2 linked regions of the Arabidopsis thaliana genome follow. The protein of the gene in region 1 purifies or fractionates together with the protein of each later gene. This does not show direct contact. Each region holds a gene or a part of one and is shown on either strand. Other genes may lie near its edges.

Region 1 (6,200 bases):
AAAATAGAAAATCCCAAAGATTCAATATTTAACATAATTTCTGACAGAATTCGATGACCTAGCTCGAAACTAGACGAAGAGTTTCAAAATCGAGGGTAAAATTGAGTGAAGAGCTAAGAGAGGAACTAGGGTTTTGAGGAGTACATACTCGTCGAGGGCGTCGAGATAGATAAGAATTCTGGTGTAAAGCTCGGAGACAAAGTCGGAAGTTGGGGTTTTGAGATCGGTCTCTGTAACGCTAGCGATTTGAGCATCCTTGAGCGCCGTGATAATGTCGGAACGAGAGAGCCTCGGGTACTCGTAGGCTGACATAGTTTTCAGTTTTGGTCAGGTTCGGATTTGTTGTGTCTGGATTCGAAGAAACTGAAAATGACAATTTGGAAAGAAATGAAAAAAAAAAAAGAGAGCCTTTGATTTTAGTTGGGTCAGGTTCGATTTGTTTTTTGCATTTGCTTTTCCCGCCTATATGAAACTGCAGTCTCTGCAGATATTGATGCATATTTGGATACGGTAGAACGTAGAAGCTTTTATAAATAAAATTAAAAAAGAAACTTTAATCTACAAAAAAAAAAATTAAGCATTTTAATATTGTAGAGATTTGGTCTTAATATCTTGATGCACTAGACATCTTGCCAAAACATAGAGGTCAAGAGACATTCACTGATGTGAATAATGTATACTTTGTACGTGGAAAAATAATAGAAAATGTGCTCATTACAATCTCTCTTCTACCTTACTTTAGCTCAATCAGACCTGCCTTGTACTTTAGAGGCTTGGTAGAAACGCATCAAACGACACCGTGTATTCATGAAACTGCAAATATCAAAAGCAAGGCTCACTAATATGTCTTACAAAGAATCTGGAAGAAGCCTAGTACTTTTTTAACTTTAGAAACCTCTTAACTTGATGCACCACAAAGCTTTTGCTTCCATATCCTAGATCAGCATAATGATAGAAAAATGCATATGGGAAAAGCACGAATCAGCAAAATGATTTATGAAAAAACCTAAAAAAGTTAAAAACTCATAGTTGATAACATCCATAAGACTTGATCATTATCACAGTAGGGTAGTAGCAAAGTTTCTCAATAAACACCTTCTTAAATAACATCCATTAGACTTGATCATTCACTATTACTAAACATGGGAACAGAAACATCATCAGATGGATAAAACTCTATGATGATTTAAGATACCTCAACGATGACTTTAAAAAGCTACTAAGAAGCTGAGAGAGGGATTGGTTTCACAGCGCTCTGAATCCGCTCAAAAGCTACTCTCACTCTTTCCTTAAGACCTGAATGCTCACTCTCTACCTCTCCACTCTCTTTATCCAGCTGAGCGACATTGCCATCGACCCTAATCACCAGTTTCCCGTTTTCTCCTAGTTTCACATCCCCGAAAAGCGAAACAAGAAGTGCGTATATCACTTTCTCAACTTTCTTCCCGTTCTCTTCCTCGGATTTCACAGCATCTTCTTCTTCCATAACGATCTTGGGGACTTCTCGGCTGATGTTGAGAATCAGAGCTACAATGGAGTCTGAAACCATGTCACTTATTGGATCTGATGACCACTGAAGTGAGATGTGCTTCTCTGACTCTTGTTTCACCGTTACTCTTTCATGAACTTTCAGTGCTGGAAGCCCCGATTCCTCATCTGTTGAAAATTCCACGCTCTCGAAAATCTTCTCCAGGCGATGTTTTATCACACCAAAAGCTCCTACAAACGGGATTGTAATTCGCTGAGTTACAGTTGCTGTTGATAGCTGTGAGAAAACATGGAGTTCGTCAGGTGCCATTATCTGATAAGTGAACCCTTTCTTCACCAGAATCCCGCTTACTGTATCGCCAACATCAGGTGTCTTTTCCGCCAATCTCCCAATGGTTTTCGCCAATTTCTCAGAATTAAAATACATTTCCACTGACTCACAGTTCTTCGGGGTCATGATCTTTGTGTTTCCATCAGGAAACTCTGTTAAGAGCTTCTGTTTGAGCCTCATCATCTCGTTAGCTTCACCGTGAACAAGGATGATGTTAGGAGGCATGAGCTCTTTCAAGAACGTGCTCGTCTGCGCGTAATCTGCATGAGCAGAGAACGATATATAGTGCACTTGCATGTTGAGCGGAGCAGTAAGACCATTCATAAGAGTCACCTCCTTTGGTTCATTAATTATCGTCTTGGCCAGTGTACCTTCCACCATATAACCTGGTATGATACAAGCATTCTTCTTATCTGAACACCAGCTGTCAAAGAGTTGCCTTGAGAGACCGCTTTGAAGACCTCCAGGAGTAGCCATTACCACAGATGGACCGACATCATTAAAATCATCGATGCTGTTTAATGGAGAAATGTGCTTGAACACAAACGGATTAGAATTTGCAAACTGGTTGCGGATTCTGTCGTTCATAGATAATATGTAGGTTTGGTAAACCGCCATACACTTTTTGGCGAGTGGTGATGCATAGTAGATTGGGATATTGTGTAGATCTGGGTGGTTCGCCCAGTATTCATCAAGAATCAAGAGAAGTTCCTGAGCACGGCCCAGTGCAAAAGCCGGGATCAGCACACGTCCACCCTGAGCAACCGTTGAATGGATTACATCAGTGAAGCGTTTCTCACGAATATGACGAGATTGATGAAGCTGGACACCAGAAGTGGATTCAATGATGCATATGTCAGGGGAGAATTGAGGAAGCTCAGCTGCTCTCAGATGTCGGTCTTCCTCACGGGAATAGTCGCCTGTATAGAGGATTCGGACACCAGCTATATCCACCATAAACATGGCTGCACCCAAAACATGGCCTGCCGTGTAACACCAGAACTTTATGCCATTCACTTCAACTGTTTGATGGAAGTCAATTACCTATAGAGGAAATCAAATATAAACCTTAACTCAACAATCACAGTTTTGAAGCAGATTTAATTTCTTTTGAACTTATCCCAAACCTAGTGGAGCAGTCAAAGTATAAACATAGTCATAGAATATAATGCAGTACTAACCTCAATTTTGTCCATAGACTTGTTGATGTCTTGTTCATCGAACAACATATCTTCCACAGACACTTTGCTCACTTTTACATAATCTGTAAGCAACAGCTTGTAGATGGCCTTTGTTGCATGTGTCATGAAAACCCGCCCATTGAATGTCGTCTGATCAAAACATCAATAACCTGAATTAGTTCTCAGCTATGTTTTAACACATCCCAAAAAACAAAATCATTTTGAAAAGAGAAACAAACCTTCTCCAGAAAATAAGGTAGAGATGCTGCATGATCTATATGAAAGCTGCAACCAAAAGCATCAACACATTATATGTTATCTTAACCCAATAAACCTCTTACACAAAACACAAACTCTTTCAAGTAGACAAACAGAGACAGAACAAACTCTAGCCTCCTACAAGCTTGAACTAATTAATCCAAGAAGGTCTCTCTACTACACATCATCCTTCTGTTTTTGTATAAACAAACTTAAACTTCGAAGATTTTGCTCAAATTATCATTCTATTCAAATCAAGACTATCATTTTCTCTTCAAAGTTTCAATTTTTCTTAATGGGTATTAGCCAAAAGAGGAAGAAGAAGGAAACATACTGAGTAATCAAGAGGACATCAATGGAAGAAGGATCAATCTCATCGAAGTAAGGCAACGCAGCCATGCCCGAGTACGCAGGATGAATCCCACAATCAAACTGCACAACACAACCAAAATCAACTATAAGACATGCCCCAACAACAAAATCAAAACACATTTGCTTGATTAGAACAAAACGGAGAAGCTGACCAGAATATTTTTGCCTCGGAAGGACATGTAAACACAGGAACGACCCACTTCACTTCCGGCTCCTAACGGAGTAACGATAAGTTGATCTCCATCTCGCGAAATTGGTTGCTCTCTTCTTTTCAGAGAAGTAGAAGAAGAAGCCATGTTTCGTCTTTCTCGATTTTCCTCCAAGAGAAGAAGAAACTCAAAGAACTGAGTACAGCAATTTCAGTTAGTGTATATCTTCAAACCCTAAAAGCCTTTAAAAAAAAAAAAACGACCACAGTGGGAGTCGAACCCACGACCTTCTGATCCGAAGTCAGACGCGCTAATCCACTGCGCTATGCGGTCAATACATAGCAATTGAAAATATTATATTTATATAGAAAGTCATATTATATACCGAAAATACCCTTGTCTTATTTTGTCACTCAAATCTGCGAACGAAGAGAAAATTCGAAGCTTTCTCGGCGATGATGGAGCGAACTTACGGCCGTCGCAAGCCGGGGATGTTAAACGACGACGTCTCGCGGGCGGAACATATTTTTCCGTCTTCTTCATCTCCAGAACTCGAGCCAGTTGATTTCTCAACTCAAGAATCATCTTGTGTCTGGAATTATTCTTCAAGATCCACTTTTTCGGATAATGATTTTTCTGAGAAGAGGAACAAGAGACCCAGAAACGGTGGTGGAGGGTTTGGTTCGAATTCGACTTTGATGGAGGCTCAAGAGTTCGGCGAGTTAATTGAGAATGAGGACGAAGTTAACTTCGCTCTTGATGGGTTGAAGAAAGGACATAAAGTTAGGATCAGAAGAGCTGCTTTGTCCTCTCTACTCTCGATTTGTGAATCTCAGTATCAGCGACGCTCTTTGAGAGCTTTAGGGTATGTTTATTTACTTAAGATTTTCAGTATCTTCCTTTCTAGACTTTCTAGGGTTTGTTTGAAGTCGAGTTCTTTTAAAAGTTTCTGAATTTTGTTATTTCAGGATCTCACAGTCCATAATTGATGCGATTTTGGGTCTTTGCCTTGATGACATACCAAGCAATCTTGCTGCAGCTACCCTTTTCTTTGTGCTAACTACTGATGTAAGTAACTTATTTGCATTGTGAAATCTGCTTGTGATGCTCTTTTCTCTTGCTCCATTGGCATTTTTCTCTTGTTTACTAGTTTTATGTTCATGATTCTAGGGTCAAGATGATCACTTTATGGAGTCACCCAACTCCATCAAGTTTTTGGTTAAGCTGTTGAGACCTGTGGTTTCTGCCAGTACTAAAGTAAAGCCGCGGAATATAGGATCTAGGCTCTTATCAATAATCAAGGATGTTGATGCAGCACGTGATGCAGCCAGTATGCATGATTTAAGCTCCTGTGATATAATTGACAGAGCTCAGGAAATTCTTGTTAATTGCAAGGAGTTGAGATTGATTGATAGCTATAAAATCGAGAGGATGAGGCCTGAGCTAAGTACGAAATGGGTAGCTTTGTTGGTGATGGAGAAGGCGTGCTTGTCCAAAATCTCTTTTGATGGTACTTTAACTTCCTGTCTGTTTTGCTGGAACAATGACTAGCTAACTATTTAAGACGCATCTGGTATATTATATTGAGTTATAGAATTGGAAAGTTATGTTATCTGCTTCAGTGAATCAGTTTAACAAATGTGTCAGCGGTAATAGAATCCTACGACCAGATTATAATTGATTTATAAATTTCTAATTATTGATATTATCATTCCCCATCCAGATACCTCTGGTACTGTGAAAAAATCTGGAGGAATGTTCAAGGAGAAACTGAGAGAACTTGGAGGACTTGATGCTGTCTTTGATGTTGTTATGGATTGCCACACTGTAATGGAGGTGTGAACCTGTATGTTATAGGGATCTTGCTATATATGTCTTTATTTGGCTAGGACGTCAATAACTTGTGTAAAGTGTCGTAGATTGGTAGCTTTATAATTGTTTGCTATCTTCAGGTTCATGTTTTATTTCAATCTAATTTATTGCTGAAAATCGTTGCAAGTCAAGGTTCTTTTCTTGTCCTTGGGCAAGAGAATTCTCTTGTTTGTGTAACACAGTTTAATGTTATTGTGACTGCGTTTGTTGTGGACAAGTTGGATGTCTGTCTTAGTGGTGGCAAAGACTCTGTACTTAAGTTGTCAATAGTTACTGGACCTTTGCAACTGTATTTAATAAGAGTCTCTATTGCATATTTTGTTTGCAGAGCTGGGTGACTCATGACACACTCTCTGTCGAGGATATAAAAGATGACTTGAATAAGCAGAGTCTGATGTTACTTCTGAAATGTCTAAAAATCATGGAGAATGCTACATTCCTCAGCACAGAAAACCAGGTAACTTTTATTTATTTTGGATTCCCAGCCTCATGATAGCTTGTATTGAATAGCTCTGCAGTTTGCACCTAAAAAATAACTGTACATAATAT
Region 2 (5,646 bases), on another chromosome or scaffold:
TTTTAGAAAATATTTTTTATTTTTTATTTAACTATTTCTCGATTGTCATGAAATGGAAATAACGTCCATTGTGGAACCCACGTGTCTCCCGTTGATTTCGAATTCCGAGCACGGAGTTAGAAAAGTAACGGTATAGATTTCGACACGTGCCCTATCTCATCTGGTCGTCTCTCTAGCACGTTGTATCACGAATCACGATTGTTGACTAGCTCTTTTTTGTTTTCTTTCTTTCTGTTTTTTTTTTTGTGTTTGTTGTTCTTGTTGTTAATTATACGATATTTTTATTATTCTTGTTTTATCATATTCACAATGATAAGTGAAACTTTCTTCTTATATCTATAAATCTCTAATCATCAGTCAAATGATTGAAATTTTCTGTATTTAATGTGCAGGGTTAAAAAAAAAAATGAGGCTATTAAAGCATATAGAAGATCTTGTAGCATGTAAATTTAGAATTTTCTAAATATGTTTTGTCTATTGCAAATGAATGACAATTTTAACATTTTGAACTCAAAACATATCCGTTTTAATTATCTTTCAATTGAATTAGCATAAGAATAAAATATTCTTTTCTATTCTAGGAGAATCATATAAGATTAATGCGACTTGGTTAGACAGACCAACTAATATTCTTCGGATCCGATTCTAAATACAGAGCTTATACAACAATACAATTGAAGTGACTTAAAATGTGATAGTAATTTAGTTGAATTAATAACCAATAATAATACATGTGTGACTTTGAACATTATCATATACTATTTCGAAATCATCCAATAACATAAGATATGTTCGACCTATCAAATTTAAAAATGCTACACACATCACTTGAATATGCTGAACCAAACAAACAGAACTAACGCACTAGTAAATCAACATTATTTTTTGCTCACTTCATAACATCAAATTACAACCAACCATCTATTCCGCAATAATGATCTTTTAAACTCAAAAACTTGTGCATTTGATAAAGAAGAAAAAGGCTATTTGTAATTAACGTTACATAATCGAGCTGCTGCATCATTCTCTCAAGCAAAAAACATGGCTCCTCTCTTCTCTAAGTAAGTCATACTGACTCAAGCCATGCCAATGATCCAGCGACCAACAACTTGCTAGGTAATGTCCCAGGCGATGGTGCTAAATACGTTATCTTCTTCTTCTGCACATTAACTTCCGTCACATACACAAACCCAGAAACATTGCTGTATCAAAGAAAAAACAGAGAGAAAGAAATATCAAAATCACGAAGAAAACATACACGAAAGCCTTTGATTCTGGAAACAGCAAGAACTTTTAGAGATTACCTTGAGATGATCTGGTCTGGTTCTTCTGCGTATGAGACAGCAAGAACAGAATGCAGCAGATCCCGATCATCGATATTTACAGGCGTCACCCGCAACGGATTTGAAACCGAGGTAGACCCGGCTGGAAGAGCCGATTTTGGCGCTTGTGGTCCACCACCAATTCGGAACACTTGCAGATCACTGAAACTCGATGTATTGGCATACGGAGAGAGTTCTTTCGATAAACCGTAAAAATATTCCTGGAAAATTCAGTTTTTGAGTTCTGAGTTACACCTCCAAAGGCATGAAAAAAGGGATATTAAAAGATTTGAGATTGAAAATTTTACCTGAATCTTAAAGTTCCTTGATCTTTTACGGACCTCTTTGACCCTGGCTACAACTCCACCAGACTTGTGAAGCTTCACGACGTCGACATTACTCTTACTTCTCAGCACATCTTTAAGCCTGCTGAAGAGTTTTTCCTGACCCAATACAAGTACAACCGAGGCATTGAATGTGTCTATTGCGTGGAGAAGCAGCTGCAAGACGAAGCAGATACAGTTCTTTATCAGGCATTTGCATAATGAAATCCACTAAGAAGGAGCTAACTATACCAAAAAATACGCTAAAAAGGATCTAACTTTTACCTCATAACCAATCCCCTCGATCCATCCCATTGTGTTGATCACCATTCCAGCAGCTCGCGATTCAGGGTTTCCGACAAACTGTTTCTCCAGAACTTGAGCAAGCTCTTTCACCAGAGCTTTGTACAGTTCAACGTTCATACTGAGAGAGCCAAAGTAGACATATTTAAATTCCTCATCGAGGGGAATAACGTATGATGGGTAGGAGAAATTTGAGAATCACTTACTTTGGTGATGCGTGGCCGTAGTAGTAAACAAGGGCCATATCAAGAGGAAACCCTTCAACTGGATCCAGTGGCATTTCAATAGGGGCAGCAGCAATAGATCCTGGTATTGTAATCGAGCCTTGGCCAACATCAAGGTCTACAAATGTAGGTCTCCATCCCTGTTTAGCTGCCCAACTAAGGAGCATCTTTGTCAATGTGCTCTTCCCGGAATCCGTAGGCCCTACTACAATAACCCGAGGTCCCTGCATTAAGTGAATTCTTAAGAACCAAGTGTTTTAACTATGCTGATATTGCAATACAATAATATTGAATATCGAAGAAAAGTACCTGAGAAGATTCTGGGTCATTAGATGTGGAAGCTTTGGCAAAACGTCTCCTTGCATCTAGTATGGCATGCACATTAATGTAGCTGACCATCGGCGTCTGGAAACAGAGATGTAGTTAGTAAACAAAATTTGCTCTACATATTTAAAGCAAGCGTAGGAATGAAACAAGTAATCCAACCTCATCTGCTGTATAGTCAGTTTCCGTGACACCATCCATCTCAATTGTCGCTCCATACCAAGTGAAAACCTGACAATAATCAAAAGGCACAAGATGGTAAGCACGGTGTTTCAGAGCTCCGATTATGAACTTTACATAAATCATTAGCAGAAGGAAAAATAGAAAAGAAAGAAATTGGGGGGGAAAATCACATCTATCATCAATCTTTTTATACAACCCACTTAACAATTCTTACCTAGACAGCATAATCTTCATTTACAACCTAAATCATAAGTCTTTCATCCAACTCAAACCCAAAAACCCTCAAACTTCACTGGCAAAGGATGTACCTTTCCAACCCCAAAAGGCCAGAGGGTGAATTCAATAGTAACTCAAGAACCCACTTTAAGAAAGATAACCACTAAAAGAAACTAAATCAAGAATGGCTAGTTATTTTCTACCAACAAACCCAACACCAAATATGTTACCAACAAGCTACATTTTATCTATAAGCCATAAAGCATAATGCTTACGATCGCTCTAAAAACCAAGGATTAAGAAAACACATACCGCAAATTTCATGCGAGGAGGGAAGGTACGCCATATTTCAGGAGGCAGTTCAGAGCCAAAAATCTCAGCGGTCCCGTTAACCACACGGAGTCTGAGAGGCTCTTCAGAGACTTCGATCCTGAGCTCGCTTTCTCTCTCCAATTTCACTTGCTTCAGATTAGCAGACCCGGGAACAGCTCCACTCAAAGCCGGTGGATTCATGGACGGACCACCGTACGCCATTGCTTTCACTCAGAGTAAGATATAATTGTAGACTATCTATCACTCGGAGTAACAGGAGCTCTCTTTAAGTCATTATACACACTTGCGCTTGTAATCGCTCTTCTTCTTCTTAAAAACAAAAGTATAATCAAGTTAATCTCTGCAAACAGAAAAGAAAAATGCAAACTTTACTAGATTTAAACAGCCAATCTTGACCCCGGAATTATAAAAGCACAACAGAGATCAATTTCAAACAACCAATGTATCAAAATTCATCACTAGAGTAACAATCATATATATATAAGAGAAAGTAATAGAACAGCAACAGAGAAAGAAAAACGAGAGCCATCGATTTCTGTACCCAGAAATCGAAAAAGAGAGAACGAGAGAGCAAAAAGAAGACGAATTACCAAAAAAAGGGTCAATGGAGGGAAGACTGAAGGCGGCGAAAGAATGAACGGCGATTCTACGGCGAGGAGAAACGGACGTCGGAGATTCGCAAACGTGTGTGTGTGTTTGAGGAGAAACAGTGAATTCGACTTACGAAATCAATTTACTTTAGGTTTATATCGCTGTAATTTCCATTTTTTCGATTAAGGCAAAATTGGAAAACGAATTAATCCCGGTTTGAGCCGTTAACCGACCTGAACAACCTTTTCCATTTTTCTACTATACAGTTTTCCGGTTAATATAATAATTTGTTTCTAGCTTAATAAACTCAGTAAAATATAACTTAATACAAAAATTTACCATAGAAAAATTCTAACTACGAATCTTAATACAATGTATTTTTGATTACATGTAACATCACAAAGGGATATAATTTTACAAATGTTTTTATTGAAAAATACCACTCAATATAAATGAAATCATCTTCAAATTTTGTTACCCAGATTCCTTTTCTAATCCTGCAATTAACACAAAAACAAAAACTTTAACACCAAAATTAAGAGAAGAAAAACAAAATTAGTATACGTATTGCGAAATTACCTTATCGTCCTTTGGGATTTACAATCTGAGAGAATATTTCGGTATTGTCCTCTGAGGAGAGATCACTCACATCATCTCTACCGGCGACGTTAACCGCCATGCCTCCTCTACCGAGATCCTCAGAGCTTCCTCCATTATTCGGAGTCCGATGACGAGTCCCGTCAGCAGTCTCTTGAAGCTGAAGTGCGAATTCGAGATTCCACAAAACATCTCCCATTGTCGGCCGTTCTAATCCACTATCGTTAAGACACTTCTCCGCCGTGTCTGCAAATTTCTTCAAACACTCTGCATTGATCTTCCCTTTCAGATTCGGATCGATTATATCCTCTAAATTCCCTTTTCGTTTGCAATTCATTGCCCAGTCTCCGAGACTCACTTGTTCCTTAGGCAAACTCGGGTTTAACGCTGGTCTTGCGCATAAGATTTCGAACAGAACAACTCCGAATGAGTAAACGTCTGATTTCTCAGTCAGTTGTTGTCTTCTGAAGTATTCAGGATCTAAATAACCGAAGCTTCCTTTGACGACGGTTGTTACATGGCCTCCATTCATGTTAGGTCCAGTTTTGGATAACCCAAAGTCTGAAACTTTGGCTACCCAGTTCTCATCTACGAGGATGTTAGTTGTTTTAACGTCTCTGTGTATAATCGTGTACTTTGCTCCTGTGTGAAGGTAATGTAATCCTCTTGCTGCTCCAATAGCTATCTCTAGCCTTCGTTTCCAAGTTAATTGTGGTTTCTTTGTGTTGTATAGATGCTCACGGAGTGTTCCAAATGCCATGTAATCGTATACGAGACACATTTCTCCTCCCTCGTCGCAGTATCCTATCAAGGAGACTAAGTGTTTGTGTCTTAGTCTTGAGAGGAGTTCGATTTCTGTCTCGAATTCGTTGAGTCCTTGTTCTGAATTTGGGTTTGATTTTTTTACCGCTACTTTAGTTGTGCCGTCTATAACTCCTTTGTAGACTTTACCAAACCCTCCAACTCCAATGACGTTGGAATCATCGAAGTTTTGTGTTCCGTGTTTGATTTCTGGTAAAGAGAATCTACGGCATAAACCTGCTGCGAGATTGGATAGGTGACTTCCATTGTTGCTCTTCCCTGAGATGGTTGATTTGGTTCCTGATGTGGTAGAGTTTCCATATATAGGAAGCCAACTTGATGTGTGAGAGTCGCCTCCTTGATATCCTTGTTTCTTCTTGTAGGCCGTGAAACACAAGGCACCGATTAAAACCGCTAAAACTCCTCCGG

The links.
Region 2: the proteins of CPSF73-I (region 1) and CLPS3 purify together in Arabidopsis thaliana (affinity purification with western blotting, with the first as the bait; one study listed by BioGRID). This does not show direct contact.

Annotation. Positions count from the first base shown.
Region 1 is NC_003070.9:22,473,735-22,479,934, forward strand, and holds CPSF73-I (cleavage and polyadenylation specificity factor 73-I), read right to left. Parts: upstream 4,032-6,200; 5' UTR 3,927-4,031; coding exon 3,783-3,926; intron 3,691-3,782; coding exon 3,593-3,690; intron 3,286-3,592; coding exon 3,240-3,285; intron 3,151-3,239; coding exon 3,001-3,150; intron 2,864-3,000; coding exon 1,220-2,863; 3' UTR 1,196-1,219; exon of another isoform or gene 936-1,195; 3' UTR 896-935; exon of another isoform or gene 814-895; 3' UTR 533-813; downstream 1-532. Other genes in the region: AT1G61000 (kinetochore protein), read right to left, coding at 149-312; AT1G61030 (WAPL (Wings apart-like protein regulation of heterochromatin) protein), read left to right, coding at 4,235-4,644, 4,748-4,847, 4,950-5,289, 5,503-5,615, 5,980-6,108. UniProt on the Arabidopsis thaliana protein: Component of the cleavage and polyadenylation specificity factor (CPSF) complex that play a key role in pre-mRNA 3'-end formation, recognizing the AAUAAA signal sequence and interacting with poly(A) polymerase and other factors to bring about cleavage and poly(A) addition.
Region 2 is NC_003074.8:1,268,987-1,274,632, forward strand, and holds CLPS3 (CLP-similar protein 3), read right to left. Parts: upstream 4,019-5,646; 5' UTR 3,819-4,018; exon of another isoform or gene 3,538-3,818; 5' UTR 3,430-3,537; coding exon 3,208-3,429; intron 2,728-3,207; coding exon 2,659-2,727; intron 2,578-2,658; coding exon 2,482-2,577; intron 2,397-2,481; coding exon 2,155-2,396; intron 2,070-2,154; coding exon 1,931-2,069; intron 1,823-1,930; coding exon 1,631-1,822; intron 1,544-1,630; coding exon 1,305-1,543; intron 1,203-1,304; coding exon 1,067-1,202; 3' UTR 775-1,066; downstream 1-774. Other genes in the region: ANX1 (Malectin/receptor-like protein kinase family protein), read right to left, coding at 4,400-5,646. UniProt on the Arabidopsis thaliana protein: Required for endonucleolytic cleavage during polyadenylation-dependent pre-mRNA 3'-end formation. Functions in gametophyte, embryo and postembryotic development.